2 linked regions of the Struthio camelus genome follow. The protein of the gene in region 1 binds, or shares a complex with, the protein of each later gene. Links are inferred from orthologs where the notes say so. Each region holds a gene or a part of one and is shown in the gene's direction. Other genes may lie near its edges. The genes, in order: KIF13B and ADAP1.

What was found.
Region 2: the proteins of KIF13B (region 1) and ADAP1 are in contact, whole or in part, in a crystal structure (PDB 3MDB), measured with the Homo sapiens proteins. The link is inferred for Struthio camelus from reciprocal best matches to the Homo sapiens genes KIF13B and ADAP1. Residues at the interface, in NP_056069.2 of Homo sapiens: Val451, Asn452, Leu453, Asn454, Ala455, Asp456, Pro457, Leu463, Arg512, Phe514, Asn516, Gly517, Arg531, Leu533, Asn536, Asn537, Phe539; in NP_006860.2 of Homo sapiens: Trp137, Asn143, Gly144, Gln145, Phe146, Leu147, Pro186, Ala187, Lys188, Ile189, Gly190, His191, Pro192, His193, Tyr211, Glu213.

What each region holds. Positions count from the first base shown.
Region 1 is NC_090944.1:9,920,051-9,935,352, reverse strand, and holds the start of KIF13B (kinesin-like protein KIF13B), read left to right. Parts: upstream 1-8,760; 5' UTR 8,761-8,861; coding exon 8,862-8,916; intron 8,917-15,302. UniProt on the Homo sapiens protein: Involved in reorganization of the cortical cytoskeleton. Regulates axon formation by promoting the formation of extra axons. May be functionally important for the intracellular trafficking of MAGUKs and associated protein complexes.
Region 2 is NC_090956.1:7,377,777-7,392,009, forward strand, and holds the start of ADAP1 (arf-GAP with dual PH domain-containing protein 1), read left to right. Parts: upstream 1-6,702; 5' UTR 6,703-6,935; coding exon 6,936-7,020; intron 7,021-14,233. UniProt on the Homo sapiens protein: GTPase-activating protein for the ADP ribosylation factor family. Binds phosphatidylinositol 3,4,5-trisphosphate (PtdInsP3) and inositol 1,3,4,5-tetrakisphosphate (InsP4). Regulates the incorporation of CD63 and CD9 into multivesicular bodies.

The sequences.
Region 1 (15,302 bases):
AATTCTATTTTCTATCATTTGAACCAGCAGGATGACACACGATGAAGTTGTTTAGAATGCACATCTTAACTTGATTTCTCATTGTTGCAAAAGAATAGATAACCGTAATCTGGGGGCTAACACGCTTGTTTTCCCCTAGTTGCATGTCTTTGCAATATCAGCTAAGCAGAAGGTCTCAGGCTAAAAGACCCTACTGACTGCACAGTTTTGTATCACTATTTTGCTATGATTTCACACGAAAAATAAGGTATGGGCTCCCCCTTCTGTCTGAGAACATCAGTGCATGAAAAGAAAGGGCCATTATGATTTGCAGAAGTACTCAGTACTCATAGTTCCTGTAAAAAACCCAGGGAAGAGCATTAAGTGCCTCTGAGGAGCAGGAACAACCTGTTCGCAGAGCCACAGACGTATCGGTTAATCATATCAGTGATAGCGGGGTAGGGGAAAAGCAGCTCCGTTGATCTCCGCCACTCTTAGAAAGAACAAAGAACATTTTGAACACGCAACCTAAGAATGAAAACTTTGGAGTGGGAGTCGTTTCCCTTTACTTTAGCAAACTGAAAGGCCCTCTAAGTCTTCACTAGTCGGCCAAACTCTCCCTATAGTCCCTGGAGAGAAACGCACCCCAGCAAAAGGGTGATTTATCCCGTGTGTCTTTGACACCTATTTTAGGAAAGGGAAAATTGCCTTCCAGGTACTTCTCTCCTTCTCTCTCCCGATTGCAGAGACAAGCCAGGTAGCCAATGTAGATTAGATGCTGAAGTTTTAGGACTGAAGTAAAGGAGGTGGAAAAGGCCTTATCCAATTCCTATCCAAATCTGCAGCAGGTTTCAGGGCATCTCTGGGAAAAAGGATGGGTGTGGGCAGCAACCTCGTCTCATCCAGCGTTATTTGAAATATAACTTAGATCTTGAGGGCAGAATGATCTGAAGACTGGAAGGAGAAACTAAACAAACTTGGACTGGAGATTAAGCATCGAAACTGCTTAGGAGAAGAGTTGAAAGTCTGGGGAAGGACCCAGTGTGCATAGTCCTGGTTTACGTAAGGCGGAGGGGGCAGAGACTTCTCCAGTCTCTCTCGGCTGTAAGATTTAGCATTACAGGCAGATTCTGAGATGGGCCAAACCTAGGTGCACCCTGGCAAGTCCAGAAGCCACCACGCCGGCATTTCTCGTTCTGCCTGTGAATCCATGAAAATGTGTTCCTCGTGCGGGGTAATTTGTTAAGCTAATTCATGTGAATATTTAACCTGTAGGTACTTGGTAGAGACCAAATATTGCCCTCAGGCATGTGTATAACATTGCTTGTGAACTCAGACGACTCATGCAGGGGACGGTGAGTACGGGGCGCTTCTCGCCCAGGAGAACGCTCAGGAACTGGTTGAGAAAGGGATGTGTAAAGCTAAAAGTAGAAGAGCTTCCACAGAAAGCAGTGAGAAAAGATCCCGCAGATTTCACTTGCTTAATAAGAGGACTTTCTCTTGTTTCTTTTTTAATGGTGACATTTGAGTTATTTTACCGTGGCCTCCCAGTGACTGACCACTTGGAGCAGTGCGAAAAGGCTTAACGTGCCATGAGAATTCTTCTGCTGTTTCAGGCAGCGAAGGCTGGCTGTATCAAGCAAAGCCTCGGGCACATCGTTTCTGTGGGAGTCCCAAAGGCTGATGTTTTTCATGAAGACCAAAGGAAACACCGCTGTGCTATGCCCAGGGAATGCTTTCCCATTTGTTGTCACCAAGGCAGAGGGCAACAAAATCCAGAAAGCGCTGGAAACGCGTAGGAATAATAATGACGTCCAGAGGGAGAAAAGGGAACACAAACGGAAAGACTGGTACAAGGCTAAAAAAAAAATCTTTCGTTTCCAGACTTGTAAAACAACCTCTTAGGAGCTGCATTTCCATGGCACTGGTGGTTTCGCAGCACAGATGTGACTTCACATCTTCACAAGCTTCAACCCTAAGGTAAAGCCAGCTGAACTTCCAGCTAGATCTTGTGCTCCAGGAGGGTCGTTTGACATATGAGAGTCATGAAAAGTCTGTATCAGCCTTAGGACTTGCTTGATTAACTGCTTGATTGCTAACTGGTTGATTCTTTCTGATGCTTTATATTTTAATGCCTTTATTTGGCTTTTTCTTATCCCAGCTTCACAGGGAAAGGAAAGAGAAACAGTCGAAGGACCAAGGTTGTGTGCCAAGTCCCAGCTGGGATTTCTGCATGACTTCAGGGCTATGTATTTCCGAGAGGATGATTCTGAAATCTCATTTTTTGTAACATCTTCACCACCAACAACATTCAATGAAGGGGAAAAGACGATGGAGGGGGAGAAGGGATAGATCAAAAAGCAAAAGCCATGGGCAGGCAGTCCCAAATTCCAGATTCAGACTCTACAAAACCTGGGCGACTTTTTCATTCTGGAGTCAGACCTGAACACCAGAAAAAATTTACCCTATTTCAGCCAAGCTGAGTTCCCTTTATATAACACAGTGGCATATCAATAGGTACCTTAGGCAACATGTAATGTCTGGGTTGGACCACCTGGGAAATGCCGCAGGGACTTGTAATTTAGGAGCCAGACTGCTGGTTAGATGGGCACATTCTCCGAAGAGGCCCACGAAATCAGCTTTTAGCAGTACGTTGCCCACACTTGACATTTTATTAAAGCCTCAGCTCAGCAAGGCATGTAATTACCTGGGCTTTTCCATTTTCATTTTTAACAAGTCCAAAATGAAGTCCAAATAAAGTAAAATTTTAGCCCTTCCGATCGTGGGGGAAAGCCTTGAAACACAGGCTCAGAATTAAGATAACACATAAAGAGACCGTATGTGCATCAATATTAATGCCAGTATTGTGTCTTTGGGGGATCATTTTGGGGATCATTTGGGATCATTATTCAATATCAGTGCAATACTGCACTGCGCATGTGTACACTACACGAGATTTCTACCTATTTTTTTTTTAAAACACTTAACTTGCAGCAGTTAACTCATTTGCAATGACTGTCACCAACCAATTAATTAAAGGTAATTATTAGTTTTATGCCCATTGCAGTAAAAAATGGTATTTCTTCAGCGTGTGATAATATGTGATAATACTTAGTGGGTGCAAGGTGAAAGGAGCCCCCCTGTTTTTAACCCTTTGCTCTCCCCGCTGCCCCCACCCCAACCGCGCCGGCCCTGGGAAGGGAGGGCAGCGAGGGGACGGGGGCTCACGCAGCAAGGAGAGGCCAGCGCTTCCCTATCCCCTGCTCCTGCCATGGGAGCAGCAGGAAAAAAATCAGTTAAGCAGGACAGGAAAGGGGAACACGACAATTAGACCTGCTTCTCCTTTGCTCCTTAGCCGCCGGGTGTCACTCTTGTCTAGAGAGTCAGGAAGGATTTTTGGCTGCTGTGAAAAAACCCACTTTATCAGTAAGTTCTGCAGCTCCTGGCGGTGAAAGCAACATCCCCATTGATCATATTTTTCCCCAAGTTTCAGCATCAAATCATCAGCTCATTAAAACTAGGGGAATCTGGAGCTGGCTTTTTAGCCCACAGCGTTATTTGCTATACACCGGCAAAACATATAAAACCGTTTAGCTGTGTAAATGCAGCTGGGGATTTAGGTCTGGGTTTGGATTAGGAGCTCCTCTGGTGTCCAGGGGCGTCTGGGTCAACGGGACCAGCTTTGAATCTGTCCCAGTCCTGGAGGGAGGGGAAGTAGAGAAGGAAAAAAGTGTGGACAGGGGGAACAACAGAAATCTGGCTCCTGCAGGGCTCCTCTTCTCTGCAGATGTGCAGCAACAGCACCATGATTCAGCAACTGAAGCTATGAGATATTGCAATCTTTTTGCAGGCAAGGCAGTTCAGTCCTCGCAGATCATGTATCTTATCTCAAAAGTGCTGGGAGATAAAAGCTACAAGTGTTACACAACTCGAAAATATCCACTTTTTGGAGTCTCAGCCAATGTCTTTGCACTGCGTTTTTTTTCCCCTTTCTGGGGCTGCGAGCTTGTCTGGCATTCGCTAAACACATTCTCCTGATAATTTTGTATGTCTCCAGTTCTCTAGAGATTCTCGTTTTCTCTAAAGACAGAAAATCTATTTTCTTTTCAAATAAATGAAACCCAACGTTGAATCTTTAGTTAACAAAAGAACTGCTTGGACAAAAGGCAACGCAGGGGCAGCAGAAACATCTGCAGCTTCATCTTACAAGCACATAAATCACTAATATTACAGGGCTCTGGATTGCCTTCAGGAGCATGAGTTTGTATGGAAATCCCACTGCATCCCAGGCGAAGTGGCTGCGGGAAATCTCGCTGCCATAAACAGGGCAGATTGCAGGGATTTTTCTGCCATCAGGGCTATCGATTTGGGATTTCCCTCCGGGTAATACAGGCTGGTGTTATGTCCTACAACCCCATGAAATTTATGGCCAGGACTTTGAACTTTGGAGTAATTTATGAAAAAAAAGGGGGGGGGGAGCATGATCATCTACAAAATTTGTTTCCACCTTTACCCCGTGTTATAAACTAGTACTGCAACAGGACTTCAGGAATCCATTTATTTGTGCACACGCTTCACAGTGAGGGCAGGGGGCCACAGGCTCAAACGCCTTTACAAAAGTCTGTCCCAGGACCAGTGAAATTCTGAACTATGAAACTATCAGCTCTTTGATTTCACAAAGTTCCTAATAAAAGGAACACAAAAAGTGCTGTGCCAATGTGAGTCCACATGAACCCACAAAACTGGACAAATTGTGTGGCTTGAGAGATGTCTAGCAATCCCTTTAAAAAAACAGAAGTGTTGATGGTAAACAGGATTTTGACACAAGCGGTTTGGAGAAAATTATTTTCTTTTATGTCCAGACTCTTTGATCGGTTCTTAATACTGATTTCCCTTGGTGCCTTCTTTCTGGATTATAGCTGAAAGAAACTTATGACAAACTCGTCTTCTTTGTTTGCCTTTAACTGCCTACAAGAGTTATACTACATTTATATATTCATAGCTCCAGATGGAAAAGCAAGATAAACCTGAAGACAAATTAGCATATTAGGATCAAACTCAGCATTGACATAATTACCAGTGTTCTCCCAGAAGAAGGACAAAAAAAAAAAAACTAGGAAAAATGTACAAAAACAAATCTCAGTTTTTGCATGTCTCTCCATGGACTTTTGTGCCGAGGACCTGCTCCGTGACAACGCGAAGGAGCTGCAGGGCTGCTGGGTGCTCTGGATGCCTCCTGCTGTGGACAGGGACTATGCCAGTGGTGCCCAGCTTCTCCCAAAAATGGACCCCTGCGATACTTAAGAGTTTCCATACAACTCAACACTGATAAGATGCTCTGTTTTAGTTTTCCAACGCCTGAATGATTTATGGGTAGAAACTAGGTCTACAGCATATTCATAATTGATGCGTCTCTTTTGATGTGCACTTCCCACAAATGAAGAAATGGGTTTAAAATAGGCTTGATTTATCACTCGCTGCAGTTTGGAAGGAGAGACATCCCAAAGGCTGCCATGAGATATAATTACGTCTAGGTGATGTGAGATGTAACTCAGTCATACCTTTGCCTAAAGAGAAATGAAAGCCAAGTTCCTCCATCTCCGCCTGCTGATAGGTGTACCCCATGCACACCAGCGATGCGGGACACACAACGTCTTTATGACTTGGTTGCTTCTCAATGATCCGTCTTTACCTACTTGCTTATAAAAAAATGAGATCAAGGACCTTGAATTTCTCTTCTCTACGTCGCAGCTTCAGTCCCTGTTATGTCCAGGTGGGTATAGCCATAACTGCGGCTCCTCAACCTGATTAAAACAGTGTTGCATTCAGGAACTGGATAAATGAATGGGAGGGACAAGTAATGCCTTCCCCTCCAAGGATGTTTTGTTAATTAAATTAGCATTTAAATAGCCAGAGCTAATCTGGGAAGTCAGCCCCTCATTACAGTAACTAGGAAGGGGGAAAAGAGCTCTGGACAATTCCCTACAAGACCGCGGGGTTAAGATTGGCGTTTCGTAAACTATTTGCCCAGCCTGTCCCTCCTATGTGAATATTGCCATTCCCCCCTTTCCTCCCAGCATAATTAGCATGTCCCAAGGCTGTGAATGGAAACAATATCCGCCCTCCGAGCTGTGCCCCTCCGGGGAGATGCTTCCCACAGCTCGGGAAAGGCCTGGTCGAGGTCGAGGAATTCGCCGCGGCGCGTAATTACGCCGGGGTAGCTTGTGCCAGCGCGAGACAAGTTGCATTACTGTAATTCATCGCAGGAGAGGGTGGCTGCGTAAAGGAAATGTCCCCAGGCATCACGGCCCATAGCTGGGAGGAATTATCACTCCTGCGCACGGATGAGACCGGAAAGGACGTCCAGGTTGGGGATAGTTTTTCGAGACCTGAATTTGCAGAAAATAGCAGCGATTAAATAAAAGATGGGGGACTTTGAAGCTTCTCTGTGGCAATTAAAACTGAACTGAGGTTGAAAGGGAGATTTTTCCAATTTTTTAAACTCAACGCTTCGTTCCAAGTAGAAAGTTGAGGCAAAGCTTGTAAAAAGTAAACACTTGCGCTTACCATTGTGCATGTACTTAAAATACGCTGGAACCTTTGTCTAACAAAGAAAAAAGCCGGAACACAATCCTTTTCCAAAGAACTTACTGTTTAATTTTACATATAACGGATAGCAGAGGAGAAGGATGCCTAGGAAGGACTGCATTTGGGTCACACCTGCTATGAGCAGCAGCACGCACATCCGGCAAGTGTGCTTTTCTTTTATTTAAATCAGATTCCAGTTGACTCAACCCCACGTAAAACTACCTCCACTTGCTGCTCACTGTCCTCAGCTGTAAAGTGGGGTTTATATATATCTCAGCAGCAAGGAACCAAGTTTCAGAAAATGCTGGTGTGGTTTGCTGAGGCCCCAGCTGGAAAATACCACAAGAAGTTCAAAGCCTGGTTTCATCCTGTAATTGGATCTGCAAGCTCACAAGTGCAAGAGCCAACTGTGCAGGCTGAGAGCGGGACGTCCCGCTTGTCCGCCTCGGAGTAAGAAGCCGTACGATTCCCGCGGCACAAAGCTGCAAGGCTGCAGCGCGCACCCGGCACGCCGAGGATTCGGTGCTTTCCGCCAGTGTGTACAAACTATCCAGTCTCATTTTGGGGCTTCTGCCACCCTGCTTGGCCTGACCCGCTGCATTTTTTTCTTTTCTTTTTTCCTCCAACCTCCAGGATGACTTCTCACCCCAGGGTTCATTTGGGATGCTGTGGCTCTCTTCTTAAGAACGTGGGCGTTAAGCTTAGTGTCAGTTAAATGCAGGCTTTTTGTTTGTATTCTCTCTACCTTGACAAGATATTCTTCAGGTCAGCCAGGTGTGAAATGACACATCGTATGTTGAGTCCAGTCCCTCTGGGCAAAAAATGCTACCTACCAAAATCTTACCTTAAAACCATTTGGAAATGTGGGTTTTTTCTTTCTTTCTTTCTTTCTTTTTTCCCCCTCTTTTTTTCTTTCTGCCACTCAGGGACAAAGCCCTGTGACAGTTTTTGACACTGAAGGGCTGCAGGATTATGGTTCTGGACGTTTATTTTCTGCCCTTGCTGAAATTTGGCCTTTCGAAACGGCGCGGAGAGAATCCTTGTTTTGAACTCAAATAGCAACCACAAGGTTAGTCAGCCGTGACTGTTTAAATGAGCTTTTTGCATCTTTGGGTTATGGTTTCGCTCTTGGTCCTCGCGAGCAGCAGACGGGGTTGAACTGTTGAGCCGCCTAACGTGGAGAAGCTCTAATACTGTTCGCCTCATCTCTGATTATCGCTGTTGAGCTCTTTTAACGAACTGGCTCCGCTAAGCGACGTGCAAGGGACCGGTTAACGACACGATTGCTGTGCCTTGACAGAATAAGGGAGATGATGATTGCTCCGCCAAGTCAGACCCCGGCGCCGGTGAGACCTCGCGCTGCGCGTTGGGTTATGGCTCGTCATCTGTAACGTGACATGTAACGTGATTATAATCGGACGGAAATCGCAGAGCAGCTCTTTATCATGGAGAACTTGCCTAGCCTTCGTATGAAGTTATTAAATAAGCATCGCTGGCTTCCAGGTCAAACATTACGGCGTAGACTTAAATAGTCCCATCTTTGTCTGAACTCCTCCCAGCGCTCAAAAGAGATGGTGGAAAAAAACCTTACTTTTGATTTTTCCTCTTTTGCTACAGGGGAAGTGATGCGGTGACAGACGTCATTGTTTCGCTCAGGCGCTCGCAGCGGGGGTGCTGCAGGTGGACAGGGGAGGGAAAACAGGCAGGAGAAACGAGCTTAACCCTGAGAGCGGCGTGAAAAGCTGTCCAGATACCGCTCTCCGCTCAGAACGAAATACGGGCTTATTCACCCCGAGACGGCAGGCCGGGGCCTGAGCTGCGACGTGGGTTACCCCACGGCGTGAAGTGACTCACAGGCCACCCTGAGCCTGAGTGTCCGCTCCCGGCTGTACACCACAACCCACAAAACAGCATTTTGGGGCTCACTCCCCACCCCCACCCCCCCCCAAAAAAAAAACCCCTTTCTTAGGGAACTACATATCCCAGCATGCAATGCTTCCCCCCCGGAGCCGAGGGGGCAGGACTACAACTCCCGGCATGCAGCGCGCCGCACCACCTCCCCCCCGCTGCGGGAGGGGCGAGGCGCCGCGCTGCACGCTGGGGGTTGTAGTCCCGCCGGACGTCGGTCACGCACGGTTGCCTCCCTCCCACCGCCCCCTTGGTTTCACACCCTCCCCCCCCCCCCAACATACACCCTCCTCCCCGCGCGCGCGCTCCTCCCCGCGCTGCCGGCTGTCCCCCTCCGTAGACGGAAGCCGAGGAGGGACGAGCGAGCCCGGGGCAGGAGCGAGGCGATGGGGGACTCCAAAGTGAAGGTGGCGGTGCGCGTCCGCCCCATGAACAGGCGAGGTGAGCGCCGCGCGCGCGCCCGCGCGACTGGTTCCCCCCCCCTTCCCCCACCGCGCGCGCGAGCGAGCGGGTGGCGGGTCTCGGGGTGGGGGAGGGGAGGGGGCCGGAGGGGCGAGCGGGGAGGGAGGCTCCTGGGGCGCGCGTCCCTGGGGGGCAGCGCTGTGTCCGCCCGCCCCGTGTCTGTAGGTGTCGTGTAGAGGTGTTTGTGTGTGTGTACCTATGTATTGATAGGTGTGTTTGCGGGTGAGGCTGGGCGGCCCCCCCCCTCCCCTCACACCCCTTGGGCTGCGCCGCCCGTCCCCGCTCCTCACAGCGCACCGCCAGCCCCTCAGCTCGCCCCCCGCTGATGCCTCTTCTTCTCTCTTTATCTCTCTGTCTATTTTCACCTCGCTCCGCACCTCTTGCACCTGCTTTACAGCCGGGCTGTGCCCCTGCTCCCTCCTCCTCACAAGGTTGAGCTCTTCCTTCTTCCTGCTCTGTCTCTCCGTTTGTTTTTTCTTTTTTTTTTTTTTTTTGGGGGGGGGGGTAAATCCGTCCTTTTCTGTGTCTTTTTTTTTTTTCCTCAGCCCTGCGCGCTGTAACCCCTCTTCCGACCGCTCCGTGCGCGAGCGGGACGTAGTTGGCGGAGGTTTTATAAGGACAAAACCAAGAAAACATGGAAGAGGATGCATGAATTGACAAGAGAAATTGTGTGTGTTTGGGTTTTTTTTTTTCCCCCCTCCCTCCCCGCCCTCAGCGAAACTTGCCTCAGGGTTACGTTAATCCGTACCGTGGTCTGAGCATCTGTTTTAATGGTTATTCCTTTTCTGAATTAGGAAAAAACTTGCTCTAGATTACGAGGAAACGAGTATGAAAAGGGAAGTATTGCCAGGGAACGGGGAGGTGAAGAAGAAGGCAAAAATCCAAGAAATATGTAGTTCTCCCCCCCCCCCTTTCCCACAGAGGTATGCCAATAATTCCTTTTGGGGAGAGGGGATAAAGCGAAGGCAGTTTAATCGCTGAACCAAAAGGGAGGAAGGAAACAACCCCTGTTATTTTCTACGTGATATGAAACAAAAGAAGTCTTTAACTTCTTTTCAATAAATAAGAAAAAAAAAAGTTTAAGCTTGTTAAATAAGGCATTTCCAGATGTTCTGAAATGAAAAGCAGAGGAATGTGAGGCTAAGTTCACGAGAGGTGTCGAGTCCCATACCCAAAAATAGAAGAGGCAGAGTTGATGTCCTTATAGCCTAGTGGGTTAGGGTAATCGAGGGCATTTTGACCCAGGTTCAGATCTGCGTTTTTGTCAGACTTCGGGCAGCAGCCCTCAACCTGAGGGAGGACCGACGTCCTCCTCGTGGAGAACTGGTGAGAGGAGAACGAGCGTTACAGTGAGGAGGACTCCGTGGTAGCTGGGATGAAGAGGCCCTGAAAGGTGGCGTCTTGTTTCAGTGGCAGTCGTGGGCTTTCCTCCTGCTCGTGTCCCTCTTTTTGTCAGAGCTCGTTCCCTTGGCTGTGACCCAGACACCATCCTGACATCGCTGGGCTCTTCACTCCCGGGATTACGGACCTGTACAATAATTCGGGTCGGAAGGGACCTGTGGAGGTCTCTTGTCCATCCTGCTGCTCAGAGCAGATCAAGTTAGATTAGGTTGCACTGGGTCTTGTCCGGTCAAGTTTTGAACGTCCCAGAGTGAGTAATGAACCTGTCCCTCTTGGTTGCTATTCTGCGTAAGCTCAGCCCCTAGTTTATGTCCGTGCGCTGGTCTTCAGCTTGTTTTCAGGTAGGGGCTGAGGTCAGTAGAAAGTATCTGTGAGGAAGAAGCAATAGAAGTAAGGGGCGAGTGGGTAAAAACACGCAAGATTAGATTTAGGGCAGGGTAGCCATTTGAGACTTCTGCTAGGGGAAAGCCCTGACAATGAGCTGTACAAACCTGGGGGAATGGGAGTGGGTATCTTGTTATTGGAGCTGCTTTATTCTGTATAAACTTAAAAATGTGGAGAACATCTGTAGCCTGGTCATTAGTAGGCTCATCCAAGAGCGAGGGATGTTTGAGTTTCAGCGCTTGCTGTACGTCAGAGAGAAGAGGGACTCGAAGCCCTGTGCTCCCCGCGCATAGCTTGGCAGTCAGGGCATACCTCCTCTCTGTAAGATCCGTTTAGTAACCATTAAGCATCCTGGTATTTTGTGAGTAATACCCAAGTCCAAGCAAGTCCGGCCTGAAAGGTCAAAGTCTTTTTCATTCCCTCAAATGTAGCCTTGTAATTGAATTTTTTAAGCAGGCTATTTGTCACAATCCACATATTTTGGCCAGTTCTAAACAGCTGGTATCTCAGTACAATATTTCCGATGCTCCTAGAATTTACAGTAACAAGCAGCAATATAATGCTGAATTACTGAATTAATATTATATTTAAGAATTTGCGTAGATGATTTTCTTAAGAATTATCCAGTTGTGAAACTTCTGTGGCTTTGCATTTTTAGTAGGCTTTGAGGCAAGAGGTGGCTTTCTTAGAAGCTCTGTAATAAGCACTTTGTTTTTAAATAACATTATATGAAAATCTGGGTCTTTGGACCTGAAGCAAGTATTTGTTTTCTTCAGGGTCATGAGTAATGTTCTTTCCTTTCTTCCGCACCGAAGGGCTTAAAATTGCAAACCTGTCAGATGGCCACAACTGTAGAGATTTAACCTTTAAAATATTCTTAGTGTTTGCCTGTGGTAGTGGTGGTTGTCTTTAGTGTTTGAATTATGAATTTCTTAAGGCAAGGGTTTATTAGCTTAATAAAAGTGGTATGTTTAGCTATTGCTAATTTATACAGCTCATAAAAGTATAATAGGTTCTTTGCATGCATGTTGAAAGGATTTCTGTATCAAATAGTTGGTTATTTATAGTATTCACATTTGAAGGCGATAGTATAGAGGGCCCTGCTTCAGTGTCGTTCGAAGAGGCAATCTGTAAGGTAAGCGTATAGTACTAATTTTTAATAGTGAGAGGAAACACTCATAGTTCCACCTCAGTTATTTATTGCATTTTATTTGAAACTAGGCCCCAGACTTGCAAACTGTATGGAAACCATGCTTTTGTAAAACAGTTTCTGTGTCATTGCACCTGCAGCATCAGGTCTAAAGTTATAAGCACTTCTGGGTAGCAGTCGTAACTTGTTTTTTGTATACTTTGCACTTAGAAGACTGGGATCTTGATTAGCGAGCTATTATGAAGTAAATAATTCAGCATTGGTCTATTAAATAAGACTTTTAAGGGTCTTCTCTTTTCTTGCTTTAGTTGCAATACAACATTTGCTGAAAATATTTCCAGATGCACAGCTTTTTCACATGGGTTTTTGATAGCAATCAGTAACTTCTTTTGCTATTGTGTTTTAGAGTTGCTGTGGATTTCCTTTTACAAATGTCGTCAGTGCTTGGTTTCATTTAGCAGATATTTATTTTACGTTACACAACTGCTGAGCAGAGTTCTTATGTCACTGTGAAGCAAAGCAAAAGCCAGCTTGTAGCTTTTTAATTGAGATTTGTCTTATTGAATTTTTGGTTGCAGGTGATGTTGATGTAGAGGCAGCCCATGAGTATAGTGTGTTTAAGTCCGTGTGTTTGTCTATGCGGTTGAATCAATTCAGTGGAGCATTACTTAGAGTATAACATTTTTAGTGGTACTAAAAAAAGGAAAAGACTTACGCTCAAGGGTACGGTCTGACACTTTCAGCCGGTTTCAGCTACTGCCTCTCACCAGCGCCTTTCTGTTTGAACAAGAAAGGCGGAAAACTAACCGCAAGAAGCGTGTAGTTAGTTCGTTTCGTGCTTTGAACGGATTTATTGAGGAATAATAGTGGCCGTGGTGCTGGCGCAAGGCTGGGCCGGGAGGGCGGCAGCGGCGGTATGCCGGGGAGGTGGGGAGCGGAGCTGTGGGTGTGCTGCTCCGGGGCCGCAGCCTGCGCTGTGGCAGCGCTGCCAGATTAAACTGGTCATAGGATTGTGGCGTTACGGACATGTGACTTCCAGTTTAAACAGCTAGGTTGCCTGTAAATGTACGTTCAGATTTCTGCTGCGTTAATTTGGATATTCATCCAGACTCGTTTGTGTGCTCCAAAAAGGATTCTTCTGTGCTTGGATGATAAAAATTCTGTCACAAGGTGCTCATAAGGAAGGCATTTACTTCGGTACTGATTGACCACTGTGTTAGGCACTAATCTTCTGTCCTACTCTTTGGGGGAGGTTGCATTCCCGCTCCCTTGAAATGTTTTTGGTTTTTGGCGGGGTGGGAAGGGTGGTGGTTCTTGCTTTTTTTTTTTTTTTTTTTTTGCGTTGAAGATTACAGCGGAAACGAATTATCTGTAAATTGGAGTTTGTGCACGTAGTCTTATAAGACTAATGGTGGTATTACAGTAAATGAAATGGCACCTGTTATATCCCGATGACAACATGCAGAATGCAAGAATTTTTTCACTAGGCTCCTTGTGATAAACGAGTGCTAAATATAGTATTTAATATTTCCTCTTGATAACATATAACATAGTCCTTGCAGTATAAACAGTGGTTCATACCTAGAGATATAGTGACAAATGGGTAAGGCATGTAAAGTTAGTGTTTTATCTTGCATTCCTCAGTGATGCAATTGTATTTTAAGAACTCCTAAGGTGTTACAAGCTTACTGCTTACTGCCAGCGAGCCTGAGACTACCATTCTGTCAAGTGTGGAGGCCACAAAAGCAAACAATTGTGCTGATTGCATCTTTAGAGCTAGCCTTAAGTGCAGTGTGTGAGATTACCTTGCTGCTCTGGTTTCACATTTGCTTGATCTTCCTGAATTCAACAAAAAGATCAGATACGCTCTCGGCGAATAGTTCTGCCTTGGCTTTTGGTTTGTTAGTGGCAGAGCAAACTTTATCGCGTTTCATTCCTGTTAACTTTGAAGCTTGAAACAAAGCAGCAGCACGGAGGACTTGCACGTTGAACTTCTTCAGAGCTCTCTGCTGCGTCAGAAAGTTACTAGATTGATTCATTTACAAGTCTTTGTAAAATGAGCCACGCAGGCAGCGGCAGCAGCGATGACTGTCGGTAGGGTTAATGTCCAGAGGCAGAGAACGCCTTTACTAAAGCCATTCGGCCAAGCTCTCACGTTAAATGAAACGGGAGAAGATAGAATAAACTTTTTACATATTGGACTATGTAGTGTTAACAATTGAGGAGAGCTTGCCTGTGTTCGATGTGCTCATGAGGCTGAGTTGATTTATACTTCGTCATTCAGATTAGATAGTTTTGTGTGCCTTTCCAGATGCACTCATGCATGTTTGATGATCTTTAATTGCTGCAAACTGAAAATTTCATGAATGATATTTGCACAGTTTATGTGTAGCAGGGAAGCTTGAGGGATGTCTACTTAAATTTCATGTTGGTAGACAAAGGGAGAAGTCAAATTATTGTATTTTTGTCCAGAATTTTTAAGCTACTGTGGCTTTAAATTAATGCCCTGAAAGTGCTATTGCTCACACTGTATTTTTTCCCTTTAAGCTTTACTTCTTAGCACTGCCAGTTAGGTGTAGGTTAGTTTCGCTTGCTCTTGTGCAGTCAGTTAGTTTTTCCCTTGTTTGTATTGGCTTCCCTATAGCAAAGGGCAAAGAGAAAAGTCACTTTAAAGCAACAAACATTGGCTGGGAGACCTGAGGACATGTGGTATTTGAACTTGCTTCCAGCTTTTTTTATTAAAAAACAAAACAAAAACAAAAAACAGAAATAAGCCTTTTTTTTTTAGTTGGTGTTCCTTTAATCTGTGTGTGATAAATAAGCTTTTAAATATTTTTGAAATAGAGTTTAAACATTTCTGAGTGTTCCTGCTACTTGCTTCTTCAAACTGAGAAAGGTACAAGAAACCGACTGTACTTTCTTTTTCCATGCAACTTCGAGGCTGCCATGCGGTAGATAGCACCACAGCGTTCTGGTTCTAACCTTCAAGGGAGTATTAATCTTCCCCCCCCCCCCCCCCCCCCAAAAAAAAAAAAAAAACCAAACCACTACTGGCAATTTTAAATATAAAATTTCTGTCATCTCAGTCTTTACAAGATATCATTTTGAGTTCTTGTGTTTTTGGCCAATTTTGACTTATGAGCTTGTTATATCCCCTTTAAACCTTTCCCACTTTATTTATTTATTTATTACACCTCCATTAGCTTTTGTGAAACTGTGAGAACAGCCGTACTGGTTCTCACTGACGGTCCATCTAAGCTAATGTCCTGTCTCCGAGGGTACCTTAGGTGTCAGTGCAGCTGCCCTAACCTGGTAGCGGGTTCAGGAGAAATTCATCACAAATTTTGTTTGAGCTGTGTGATATCGCCGGGTTCACATCTTTATTTCAGTGGAATTTGTGCTCAAGTAGTTTTTGAAAGGGCTGGAAAAC
Region 2 (14,233 bases), on another chromosome or scaffold:
TGTTGTTTACGTGGCTTCTGGAGTAGGGCTGCTCTGTTGTTGCTAGAAATAATTGCTGTTAATTAATTTTTTGCTGATTTTTCTTTGGCAAAGCATATTGAAATAAACAAATAAGTGAACAGCATGCTCTGTATCTCAGTGTTGTGGGAGCTCTTATGAGGCCTGCAGTGACCTCCCAACAACCCCATCAGCAGCCAGAGGAAGGGTAAGGCATGGTCCTCGACTTTCTGTGGACAAAATGAATTGGGGGAAGGCTGAATTGACCTTTCTAGCTGTTTGGCAGCTTTCTTCAGGCCATCATTTCTAATCTCTTCCTAGAGAAAAAACACAGCTTCGGTTCCGCCTAATGCTTTATTCAAATCACAGCTGAGCAATGTTACAGAAAGCGATGTGGTCTCAAATGTCTGGTCTGGACAGGCAGCTGAGGGCAGCAGTCTGTGATACAAGACTAATTGATGGGCCCTACAGTTGCAGCAAGTTTTCGCTTTTCCTCTGTGGCCTTTTAAAACGGCCCATCTTCGTTCTGAGGAACTTGAGCTGCTCTGCAGAGATTTCCAGACCAGCAGTGATCGGTTGGGCTTCAGCTCCTTTCTCTCTATCCCAATAGCCTCCTCTGTCATCCTCTTTGCTCTGGGTCCCTGGCTGGTGCAGCCACTGACTCCTAAGTCCTCCTGAATGCACAGTAGTTGGCTTGCTTGCTCTAGGTCGGTCCCTGCCCTGCAATGAGACATCACGCGGTGCAGTCCCCTGCTTGAATGTCTTTGAGCTGTTCCTGGAAGGATGAGGCATTTGAACAGGAAGAGATTACATTATTGGAATTGAGCAAAAGCAATTTCCCTGATAAGTGCTTGCCCTGCGGTTTGCACGTTGAACCTGTCCTGGTGCCGTCTCTGACTCAGATTGAATTGATGATGGCCAGCTCTGAATAATCACTCTGACTTTTCTTGGATGAGCTGATACCCTCTGACATATGGATCTTTTCACACGTGTGTTGGTTTTCTCCATACGGAGCTTTCCCAGGCCTGACTCTTTTCATTAGTATAAATCAGGAATAATGCTAAAAGCAGTGGTGTAACACTGGTGTAGGTGAATTATTGATTGAATTATTCATTTGTCTAATTTCATCATCTTTTTTCCTGAGAGCAGAAAAGAGCCCATTATTAGGAGGGGATTTTCTGGCAGTGTAAATCAACAGAGTGCCAGCCGTGTTGATGGGAGCTGCTGTGGAGTCGCACCAGTTCCCCCAGCTGCCCTTCTATGTCATATTTTACAGCATATGAAATGGGTTCAGTACAACAGTAACAGGATTGTCCCAGGGAGTCTTTTCTTGTGCTGAGATTTCCCTGTGTGCTGTGAAGCAGACAAATACAAATATCCAACATCCTGAGGCTATCAATTACCTGGCTGAGGAACTCCCTAGGATGTCTCTGGTCTTCCAACTACCCTGCCAGAGTGACTAAGCAGCCCGTGTGACTGTAAAGAAGAGATTGCCCTCCCCTGCACCGATTCCCAAATCCCTTGATTTCTGCAGTGAGACTGGCCAGAGCACAGGCAGTGGGAAGAGCACCCTCAGGCTGGGAGTAGAAACAGAAAGGCCCTGTTGAGCACATGACAGACGGACTCTAAAAAGTGGCTGGGGCTACTTTCCTTTTCCTGGCGATGTGGTTGAGAGAGAGCAGGCCTCAGCCCCAGGACGTCACAACAGAGGGAGGACAGAAGCAAATAATCGGGTTTGTGATCAGCAGTGGTCACAGCAGACTGAAAAATAGTGGCAAAGTAAATCAGCAGAGAGATTGTGCTCTGCCCCTCCTTCCTGTTCTCGCTCTCCCTGTTTCTTCTGCTGTGAAGAAGAATTCTGTGATCTGTTGTGCGAAACTATTAAATGATGGGAGTACCAAATTCTTTTTCAATACACCTGACACTGGGCTTAGGAGCAGAGTTAGCCAATATGCAAATGCAGTGATACCCTGATCTGCAAATTACTACTGCACAGCAATGCACTTTTAGAGCTGCACACCACCTTTTCCTCTTTGGGGTCTGGTGCAGGTGCAGAGCAGCTCTGCGAGCACAGAACTTAAGTGTGTTATTTTGGCACCCTTGCATCATTTTCCTTTGCGTTGTTCTCTTCAATTTGATGGCACTCAACACATGATAACCACGCAGGCAGGTGTGTGAAGTGTGCTTCACACAGGGTTGCTGCTGTATGCTCATAGAGAAAGTTGGTGTCAATGCCTGATTTTCAGTTCAGGCATTTATGACTGCCCTGCTCTGAGCCCTCTCTGCTCCTTGGCATTCCTCTTTCCCAGCTGTAGTCAGTGTCTAGATTTAACTGGACAACCCAACAAATATGATTTTTTTAAAGAACAGCCTCTGTGACTTCAGTTTCTTTTTCTTTCTGTTGAACAGAAAACCACTGAAACTAGCTGCATTAACATGGCTGCAGGTGGTCAGTGCTATGGCTTTTCACGCAAATCTCCTGCTGTAAGAGCTGCCTTCCCTATAGCACGGAGGAAGCATAAGGGATCCAGTCTGGTACATCTCCTCCTCTGGAGAGTTTTGCTTGTATGCAGTTACAGGGGCATGAATTCTCGATATTTCTGTTAGGGTTTGCCATGCACACAGGAATTTGTAATATTTCCCCATGTTACACTGTGAATGCACTCCAGGGTCACCTAAACGGTTGAGTTTAATACCCTTTTACTTGTGTGACTGTGACACTCATTTAGCCATTTCAGGATTGGGGCTGCAAAAGTAACTAAGTAACAGTGGAAATGGCTCTTTCATAACAAAAGAGTTCCAGGGTGAAAATAGGTAAGATGGAGGGGCAAGGAGAAGTTTCATGGTGTCATCACAAAGCTGATGAAAAGATTTCCAGGAAGTTTTAAACATTCTTCGCCCTGACCTCACAGGCCAGCATTTCCAAAGGTATCAGTCAGTCTTGGCTGCCGCTGTGCTTAGCACTTTGGGAGATCGCATTAATAATGTCCATTTCTAAGACAACAACCTTGCGATTTAGAAAAGACAGAGTTAAAAGCATGCATGCGTGTTTACATACAAACATATTTTATATATGCATATATACATATTTATATACATACGTAAAAAGAATTATTTCAGACTAAGAGAGTCACTCAGCAGTGGAGAGTCAGAACCCATCTGAACAAGGACAATGCATTGACAGACAGTCTGGTCTCGGAGCAAAAAGCCAATCTGGCTTGGCCAGAGACCTTAGGAGAAATAGGAGCAAATTCACAGAACGCTCCCTAAGAGATCATACCCACAGACTGCTCGAAAACATGGTGAAAAGCTCATAGTGACTTCCCTGGTGCTGGATCCTACAGGTACAGCCTCACGTGGACAAGCCTGAGCAGAGACTCCCACCTCTCTCCAGCCTTTCAGCAGCCTCTGCGAGCCCTCTCAGGTCCACCTTCCCCCTCTCCACGACACCCGATAGTCAATTCTGAAGCTGCCCCTGCCCTTCCTTGCACAAATGGCAATCGGGAACTGAAATCCTGAGGAGCCAGTGTCGATTTGGAGAGTCTCACTGCATGTCCTGGATCAACATTATGCTGATTGACACCGATCAGGAATAACTGTTACTACCCGTCCAGTTAAGCTTGGATAAACCAGGGGTGAATCTACAGTGATACCCTTGTTGTATTCATAAGACTGAATCAAGCCTTTGGTTTTCCACTAAACAAAAACTTGTTTTCAATTCTGGCTGATTCGGTCCTGTTCCAACTTTTCTCCCTCGCTCCATGTCCCCTCTACTCACATGTGTTGTTTGTTTCCTGATTTGAAGTTTGGAGAAGGATGTACGCTGTCATATTGGTGTTGTGGGGAACTCTGTAATTGTGATGGGACTTAAATGATGAGGATTGCTGTTGATTGATCCTTTCTGGCCTCTGTTCTCCACCGCGCCTGCTCAGCCTGTCCTTTATGAAACACCCCCTTCTCATCATTGACAACAGGCTCCGTTAGATTTGATTTTATTACAAGATATAAATTTCTGTCTGCAGCCCTGGTTTCCAGCATGCAGAGAGGAGAGAGGGATTGCCTAGCAACCAGGAGAACAAAAAATTAAGAGAATCAATAAGACTTAATGGAAAGCAAAACAGAGACTTTAAAGCCAATCTCCCTCCCTCCCTCCTCCCAGCCCTCTGCCCCCAGGAAGTTCATAATGACTTGCAGTATCCCAGCTATTGCACGACAAATTTGGCAAGTGCACACGCAGGTGCCAAGGGAACCGGGGCTGTGGTGTGACTGAAGGGCAAATGAAAACCCAGCCTCCTAACTTGGACTTAGGTAAAGCTCCGATTCTGTAAGCATTTACACTGATGAGCAGTTCCTCAAGCTTGAATATGACATGTTTTTGGAAGATTAGAGCTAACATTCTGTGCTGGAGCCAGTTTTACTCACGTGCTTGGGTCTTAGTCCTCCCTCAGTAGGAGTTTGAAGTCAGCAGCTTTGCCCCAGGTTAGTAGTAACGATCTGGAGATTTAAGAAGGTAAAGTCACCTGTCTGGGGCCCAAGCCGAGGACCTGGATGCTGTGGCCGCAATTCACAACAACAGGACTGCGTGTGGGAGCAGGGGCTCCAGCATTCAGCCTTTGGTTAGCACGGGAACAAGTTTCCAGATGCCATCAGCCCACATGTGGAAAAACAGAAAAACACAAAACCCCGAACACTGCATAACGCTGCACAGCACTTCCGCAAGGAACAGTCTAACGTCAGCTTAAAACAATCAGAAATTAATTCAGTTAAAATCAATTGTCTGACAGTATAAATGGCAAGGTCACTTAGGAAAATGTCTTCCAGATGAGAGGAGTATTTCAATCATATCAGGCCATGATTTTGCATCCATGTAAAGATTATTTTCTTTGCACAAAGTGTTCCCTGGAAGCTGAGGCACCGCTCACACCTGTGTTATGTTTGCAGGATCAGGATTGGGATTTGGTTGTGGAAGGAAATACTTGGCTCCCCCTCCTGCCAACGCTGGTGCAAGCCTTGAGCCTTATGAGGAGCGTTAACAGCACGAGCAAAGCGCTGCAGAAGGGTGTTGTTTTGGCTGAGGAAACAGAGATGGACGATATGAACGGAGGACTCGTGTCACAAAACCAAAATCAGTTCTGTAACCATCGATGAGGCACAAATAACTCGGTCATAGTGGCGTCGTGGATATCCGCGACCCGTCCTGGAGAGGAAGGCTTCACCGGGGTGAGGGCAACAGCCTGCGAGGCACAGCCCCGACCTCCTGCTCTGCCCGTGGCTTCCCACACCGCCCCACCGCCTCCGTCTCGCCAGCCCTTAGCTGATGACACGGGGACGGCAGCATTTCCCCGCGCGCAATGGCGGGCAGCGAGATGGCCGCAGCCCTCGCCTCCAGCCAAGGATGGGGGAGCCGGGCCAGGCCCTGGCCGGCCTCAGCGCCGCCATCTTCCCTGACACGGCACCGCACCGAAAGCGCTGGCGGACGCTTGGCCTGAGCGCCGCCATCTTCCCTGACGTGGCACCGCACCGAAAGCGCTGGCGGACGCTTGGCCTGAGCGCCGCCATTTTCCCTGGCGTGGCACCGCACTGAAAGCGCTGGGGGACACTTGGCCTGAGCGCCGCCATCTTCCCTGACGTGGCACCGCACTGAAAACGCTGGGGGACGCTTGGCCTGAGCGCCGCCATTTTCCCTGGCGTGGCACTGCACTGAAAGCGCTGGGGGACACTTGGCCTGAGCGCCGCCATCTTCCCTGACGTGGCACCGCACTGAAAACGCTGGCGGACGCTTGGCCTGAGCGCCGCCATCTTCCCTGACGTGGCACCGCACTGAAAGCGCTGGCGGACGCTTGGCCTGAGCGCCGCCATCTTCCCTGACGTGGCACCGCACTGAAAGCGCTGGCGGACGCTTGGCCTGAGCGCCACCATTTTCCCTGACGTGGCACCGCACTGAAAGCACTGGGGGACGCTTGGCCTGAGCGCCGCCATTTTCCCTGGCGTGGCACCGCACTGAAAGCGCTGGGGGACGCTTGGCCTGAGCGCCGCCATTTTCCCTGGCGTGGCACCGCACTGAAAGCGCTGGGGGACGCTTGGCCTGAGCGCCGCCATTTTCCCTGGCGTGGCACCGCACTGAAAGCGCTGGGGGACGCTTGGCCTGAGCGCCGCCGTCTTCCCTGACACGGCACCGCGCGGAAAGCGCTGGCGGATGCTTGGCCTGAGCGCCGCCGTCTTCCCTGACACAGCACCGCGCGGAAAGCGCTGGCGGACGCTTGGAGGGAAAGCACCGCCGAGGGCTGGGGACGGAGCGGGTGGCCGCTCGCCCCTGCAGGGACGCGGGGGAAGGAGGGGCGCTTGGCAGAAGTACGTGGCTAACGCTCAGCGCTCCCGAGTCCCCCCGCCAAGGGCGACAACGCCTCAGAGCAGCCCCAAAACGCCGCTCGCCCACCCCCCCGGGCCGCCCCGCTGCCAGAGGGCGGCTCCCGCCCCGCGGCCCGCAGCGCCCCTCGCCGGCAGGCGCGGCCGCAGGTGGCGCAGGCGCCCGGGGCCGCCGCGCCCGTCAGGGGCCCCGGGGCGGGGGGGGGGGGGGTCGGGCAGCCCCTGGGGGGCGGCGCTGAGCGGCCGCCGGAGGTCGCGGGGAGCCGCCAGCTGCCGGGGCTCGGCCCTGCCCGGCCCGGCCCGGCGGAAGGCGGAACCGGCGCGGCGCCCAGCCGGGCGGGCAGCTCCGGCGGGGCGAGGAGGCGCCCTCGGGAGAAACCGCCCCGGCGCGTCCCCGCTCGGCGGCGGCGTGGCCCGCCGGAGGCGTTCACCTTGCGCGGGGCGAGCCGGGGGCCGCATGGAGCAGCCTCGCCAGCGCCCCCCGCCCCGCGCCATGAAGCTCATTTAGCCGCGGCGGAGCCGAGCGAGGACGCGGGGAGCTGAGCCGAGCGCTGCCTGCTCTCGCCGCCTCCATGGCGAAGGAGAGGAGCAGGAAGGCGCTGGCGGAGCTGCTCCAGCGGCCGGGCAACGCGGCGTGCGCCGACTGCGCCGCGCCGGGTAAGGGCGAGGAGCTCCGCGGGCGGCGGCACCGGCACCTGCACCTGCCGGCCCGGCCCTGCCCTCCGCCCGCCCGGCCGGGCGCCTCGCCTCGCCTCGCCCGAGGCGGCGGCGTCCCGCGGGCGGGGGGGGGCCGTGTCGGCCGGCGCGGAGGGGACCGCGGCGGGCGGGGGGGGGCCGCGCTCGGGCGGCGGCGGCGGCCCCGGGAGCGCGAGGGGAGGCTGCGCTGCCTTGGCCGGGCGGGAGCCGAGGGGCGGCCCTGAGCTGGGGCCGGAGCGGGACTCGGGGAGCCCGGCCCAGGGGGATGCACTGGGCCGGGGTGCAGGGAAGGGGGTGCAGTGGGGAGGGATGCGACGGAGTGAAATGAAAGGAAGGGGATGCAATGGGGAGCGATGCAGCAGGGCGAGATGCAGGGAAGGAGGTGCAATGGGGAGGATGCAGCGAGGTGGGATGCAAGGAAGGGGAAGCAGTGGGGTGGGATGCAATGGGGGGGATGCAGCAGGGCGAGATGCAGGGAAGGAGGTGCAATGGGGAGGATGCAGTGGGGTGGGATGCAAGGAAGGGGAAGCAGTGGGGTGGGATGCAAGGAAGGGGAAGCAGTGGGGTGGGATGCAAGGAAGGGGAAGCAGTGGGGTGGGATGCAAGGAAGGGGAAGCAGTGGGGTGGGATGCAAGGAAGGGGAAGCAGTGGGGTGGGATGCAAGGAAGGGGAAGCAGCGGGGTGGGATGCAATGGGGGGGATGCAGCGAGGTGGGATGCAATGGGGGGGATGCAGCGGGGTGGGATGCAAGGAAGGGGGTGCAGTGGGGAGGATGCAGTGGGGTGGGATGCAAGGAAGGGGGTGCAGTGGGGAGGATGCAGTGGGGTGGGATGCAAGGAAGAGGGTGAAATGGGGAGCGATGCAGCGGTGTGGGGTGCAGTGGGGAGGATGCAGTGGGGTGGGATGCAAGGAAGAGGGTGAAATGGGGAGTGATGCAGTGGGGTGGGATGCAGCGGGGTGGGATGCAAGGAAGGGAGTGCAGTGGGGAGGGATGCAGCGGGGTGGGATGCAGGGAAGGGGGATGCAGTGGGGAGGGTGCGACATCAGGGCACCCAGGCCTAGCCCCAGCCAAGGCAGGGGGAAGGGTATCCCCACAGCCCCCGCAGCCCAGCTCCACTCCCAGCTGTGGCAATGCTGATGTCATCCCAGGCTACTCCAGCAGGTCTCCGTGCCTGCGATCTGCAGTGCAGACCGAGCCCTCCACATGGGTGACACTGACATTTAATTAGCTTGCGAGGGTTTCCAGGCGAGGAGCGGGCGGCTGGTGGGTGCTTGGCAGGCAGGGAGCAGGGCGGTCGGAGCTCAGCGAGGGTGGGCGCGTGGTTCCCGCTTATGCTTTTCATTATTGTTGCCTTGCAAACAGAGCGTGGCTTTTGTAGCTGCTCCTGCCGTACCAGTGAGCAAACAGATTTAGGGAACCAAAAGCTTTGCCATGCTGCTTCCTGCCTGTCAACCGTTGACCAATGTGCCATAGATTTATGCAGACTTTACTCGCTTTTTAATGCGGTGGAGATGACCGTGCTAAAATGTCCATAGACCTGCTTGGGCACAGAGGCTGCAGGGAGAAAAAATCTGAACACGGCACGTTTGCCTTGTCCTTTGCTTGGGTGAATTGTTGGGGTGCAGGTGTGATCATGGGAAAGCCTAAGTCTTGTGGAGCAAAGTGATGCTTAGATCTGCATGGTGTTACGGGACTTACCTTTGAGAAAAATCTTACAGATTTGCATAGCAAGTAACTCTTTTTTTTTTTTTTTTAAATCACCATACAGAAGACACTAAAAATTTGTATTAGCTTGAGCAGGGTGGCTCTAAAAGAGATGCAGAGAAGGGATGTCCTTTTCCATCTCGTTCTGTAGGTTTAAAAAACAAAGCAAAACGAAAAAACGACTTCAGCAGAACCTTATATTTCTGTGTGTGGTGTGGATTTCTTTGCGATTTCAGTATCTATGGGATACTGTCATCCAGCTTGTGCCATCACGAAGGGTTTATAAGCCTGATCTGTGTTTTGGGGAAAATGCTGTTGATCTTCAGACGCCTTGTGTCCCCTGGTATCTGGCTAGGGAGGACAAAGCACTTTCTGCACAGTGTGAACGGCTTTGCAGTGCTGTGCGGCCCTGCCTGCTTCCACTCCTGTGCTGGCGGCGGCGGCTGCTGCGTAACTGCGCCAACCCACCTCTGACTTACCTTGCCGAACGCAGCCTGGGCTTGCTGAATAGGTGTCTCCTTAAATTGCTCCTTCTTGGAGGAGACTTTACAAGCCGAAGCCCTTCAGATCAGTGGGATAATTCTTTCTTGCGCTATGTGTGGTGTAAAGCCCCTCTGCAAACTTTGAAGTTTCTCAGCATCAGCAGGGTCGAGATGAAGCTGTAGGTCAGTGAAATAGCTCATACTGAGGAAAGGTTGTGGTTTAAAGATGCCAAATGGGCTTGTAAAACAACAAAGCCGTATTTTGCTTTTGGTGATGCTTGCATGCAGAGATGTCTTCAGTAAATTTGAAACTTGGAGAGGAGAATTTGGCCCAATGTCTTTTGTAACACAAGATCTGCTGTATTAATACCATCCAGCCTCTCTTTTGAACTGTCACAGGGCTCTTCCCCTGGCACTGGAGTTCTGTTGTTAAATGGCATTTCTTTAGTGATCACTTTGCTTCGCTTTCTTTGACAGATGCTACTCATGGTGCTGTCATGTGCTCCTGTGCCTGGGAGTGACAATAGACTTGAAATGCCACCCCCAGCTACGTTTTCAGCTGGGTATCAAGTAACCCAGGGAATAACAGACCCATACCTTGTACCTGCAGCGTAAGCATGAAATATCCCTTCTGAATTCAGGTATTCATCCTGGTGTAAACGAGAACAGCGATTCTTGCAGCCACTCCAAGGGTGTGCGCAGAATAAAGGGGTGGGAATAGCAGTGTGTCCCTTAGCTGGGATCTCTCCCATCTGCGAACATCTTTATGCCCGTATAGATGAGGGATCTCGGGACTACTTCCTTTGGCTTGCAGCAGCCGAATGGACAGGCACAGTCATGGGAACTTCAGCCCCGTGATAACTGGTGTCCCAAGAGCTCCAAACTGGGATATAAATATGTCCTTAGCAAAGGATCGGGATGCACAGAAAGTTAAAAGTGAGAGCTGGAGCTGGGTGGACAGCTGAAAGCAGGAAAAGTACCGAAGCAGAGAAAATAAAGTGAGAATGAAAGAAGAGCGTGGGGGGGGATGAACGGAGGATGGGAAAGATGGTAGTTCTTGTCCTTTCCCACGTTTCATGTGCCATCACATTGCTGGTCTGGTGCAGCTGGGGTCAGGATCCTTGATTTATTACTACTTCTAAAATGGATGTGATCCTTTCCTTGAAATCCCAGAGCTAATTCAGGACCCATGATAAGAGGTAGCCATTTAGCCAAGCGATACTGACAACAAAGAATAGAATGGGTCCAAAATATAAATACAAAATTGCTCTAGTAGTCAGTCTCTTCAATTCTGTGTATTTGGAAACCAGCTGGTTTTTCTTTTGCTCTTGGAAATTTTTGTTTCAAAAATCAGCCAGTCAGTGGACAGTTTTTCTCTTATGGGAAGAATTTTCTCTCTTCTCTTATGCTGTCAGACTGGGTTTGTTTTGTTCCTGTTTTGGCATTTTGATGGGGCTCAATAGCCATAGCCCTCGAGGAATGACTTGTCCCCATTATTACATGGTCATGTAACAAAAATGTGGGTTCCTGCTGCAAAAGAGCCTGCAGCTCAGCATCACTGTGACTGAGCGGTGACTGTGCAAAAATGCAAACCCCAAGATGGAGAGGGAGCAGCAGGAGAGTGAGTGCTTTTCCCTTAGACTATGTGGGTAACTTTGTGTCCCACAGGATCGTGGAAGACATCTCATAGCTGGCTCCTCGGTGAGATCTAGGTAAAACTTGCTTATTGTCTGGACTGGACCAGAACCTGCTGCTTAAATAATCCTAATTAAGGGCTACAAGTTCCACGACCAAGACTGCCGTATTTGAGATTTCCATTGCCTTGGTTTGTCCACAGAATATTTACACTTGTATCTGCATGGAACATGATGTCAAATCTGATGCTCAGGAGGACCAGGTCTATGCACTGTGTGTTCCCCAGGACCAGCGTGTATGCCTGGCAGGAAAATCTCAGCTGCAAGAGTGAGGCTTCCAAAAATCCTTGCAAGTGAGATTTTGAGGGCATATCTCAGGTATAGCAAACAGGCTTACAGTGGCCCTGGCTGTGGCAGCTGGGAATGTAGAAGGACGGAGAAGTAGAGACTGAAAATCAGAGTGGAAGAAGATCTAAGAGGATGAATTTCTCATTTGCAGGGTTTGTTGTTTTTTAAAAAGTTTTAGTTAATTTTTATTAATTGAATCTTTACAAAACTTTATTTTGCAACAAAAGGCTATTTTGAATTTTAGAAGAAATTAGCTGCAAAAACACTATCCATCTGAATAATGAGACTGCATTAGCTATAGCTTTGAGACTGAATTATGAGGTAGAAGCCACTATAATAAAGTTATTTGAGGCACCTGGCACTCTGTCATTACATATTTCTGTGCTGGAGTCTGGGTCTTGGATCCTGGTTTGCAATGTGTTTGTTTTGGTGGGTTTAAAGATGCGCTTTCACCGAGGAAGACAGCATGTTAAATGCAGTCCTAAGTGCAAACTGAGCAATATCTCTGAATTGCTAGTGTGTAATGGCTCTTGACGTATTAGAATAACCTTTTTTCTTCAAGACTAATGTGGCAGTTGCGTTTTTTTTCTTTCTTTCTTTCTTTTTAATGATTCTTTGTCTTAGGCAATTTTTCCTCACATCCTGAGATGGATGGTTATCTCAGGGGATAACAAGACCTTACGTATTTCTCTCTCTACTCCATTTTTCTATGACTTAGGGTAGTGTTTCCACTGAGTGAGAATCATTTTACGTTGTAGGACAAGAGTGAGGCTCTGAAGACAGAAGTGGAAATCCTGTCAAAGCGATCCTGTGGTTTAGACCCTCCAGCAGCAGTTTTCAGTGGCTTGTTTATATTGCTTTCACCTTTCTTATTTGTTCAGATTACTGGGACGCAGGCCCTCAAAGGAGAGTGGTTCAACACTGACTTCTCTGTTCTTCCTCCATCTCCCATCGCATCTGTACCTCACGGACAGAGGGGCAGAAGGCGAGAGGTGGAGGGGCACCTTGTATCAGAGCGCCCTTGTATTGCAAAGCTGGGTGTATTTGGCCTTTGGGTGTAGTAGTGTATATAAAAGCCTGTGAGGAGGTGTACAGCTGAGTTTGTTCCCAACACCTTTCCTGCAGGCCCAGCATCTTCTTATTTTTCAAGTAGGCAAAGCTATTTCATTCCGCTGAGTTTATGCAATAGAGGTGGTGATTAGAGGAAAATACATGTGTGCAGGGCATTGCTTGATCTGCTTTGGATTAAGGAGGACATTGAAAGGATTTGATCTTAAACCTCTCCATCCCCTATCTAATCACCAGTCCTGAAAACACAGATTTGCAAAGGAACTGCTTGAGTCATCAGGTCGTATCTCTTGCTGTCGTATGCGATGACATCTTCTAATCCCCTCCAAGAAGCGATGGCGCTCTGTCTTGTAACTCATTCTCTCTTTTGCCCCCACTACCTCCTACTGGAAAGCTGTTCCAGAGCTTTGCTGCTCTAATGGCGTGAAACGGTCTTCTCATTCTCAAGCTAAATTTGGAAACTTGTTCCCGCACCTCCATTGTCCTCTAACTTAAATAGTTCTTTTTCTTCCCTGGAGTTTGCCAACTCTTTTTCCCTTGGCGTACACAGAGCGAGGAGAAAAATTCCCATCATAGTTGTTTCCCTCGATTCCACGTTCTGCAGAGAAGAAGGCTCTTTGAAACAAAACATGCTTCATGTGACTATGCTTTCTAATAGTGCTTTAACCGACAATATGTCCTTTCCTAATTCCTAGGCTTGTAGTGCTGTTGTGGTTTGCGGACAGCAAGCAGAGGGGGCTGCTGAGAGCTGACAGCTGAATAAGAAGACTTTGGCATGTTTAGTGCCTCCTCTGAGAAATTTTCCTACTTAGTGAAGTGTTGATGGGAGTCTGTTTGGCTTTAGTTTTAATGTCTTTTATTGTTATGTTTGAACATGCATGACCGGGGCCTGTTCATTAACCTCCTAATCTTTCCCCTGGAATAAATAGCAACAGAAGTTTAGTGGTGGACGTGAAGTTCTCCTGCCTGTGATATTAAGTAAAGCCTTAGCCTTTTCTGCTTGCTGTTCAGCTGCTGTTGATTTATAATGTTGATTCTACAAAAAATCCCATGTTTACATGCATGTAGGACATACATTACCTTCCTAGTACAGGGCAAAAGAGGTTTTGCCTGCCTAGACAGTTCCTCCTTTCCCCTCCAATAATTCTTTATCGTTACGGCTGTCACCTGGGCAGGGGGAGACAGCGGTACTTGCTGGTGGATGCGTTCACGGGATGTTGCTGCGCATTCACTCCATGCTCTTGGATACTTGTCTTGGCCAGGCCTGCAGCAATAACTGTGGTTTGAGAAGGGAATAGGTGGAGGGGGCATATGGGTAACTGTGGTGACTCTGCGTTTGAGTTCTTGTTCTTGTCTTGCGGGTACTTTGTGAGTCTGCTGTAGGTCTGCTTTGTATGTTTAACTCAGGCTAATGGCATTTAGGGCTTTAGGGACGGAAAGTTTATATCCCTGAGTTTCTATTCTGGATGGAGGAAAGAGTCATTGTAAAGAACTGTATTCCACTGCCATCCCACCTCCAGGTTTTCTCTGCTCACCTTTTGCTTTGTATAAATTGTCCTAAATCTTATGTAGGTTCTTTTTGTTTATTACTTTCTGGTTCTAGCCTTTGTTTCTTCTTTCCGCTGGCTGTTCTTATGTTTACTAATGCTAGGCTCAAGCTGCAGAGTTTGTTCTGTGCGCTGGGTTGTTCTTGGGCCTGTGGTAGCAAAAGGGGCTGGTTGGGGAACTTAATTTCTGAATTCAACTCTGTTGCCCAAGTGTTTCAGTTTTGGTTTGGCTGCTTCTGTAATCTCTAGCTGTGCCTTCCTTTTCAGATGAGCAGGATGTAAAAATATAACCCCAATGTCCTCCTTCTGAGTCTAGTTTAGCTTTGGTACTTAGTTGTAAATGAAATTACGTCAGGTTTTTATTTTGAAAGTCATTGTAATCTGTGCGTA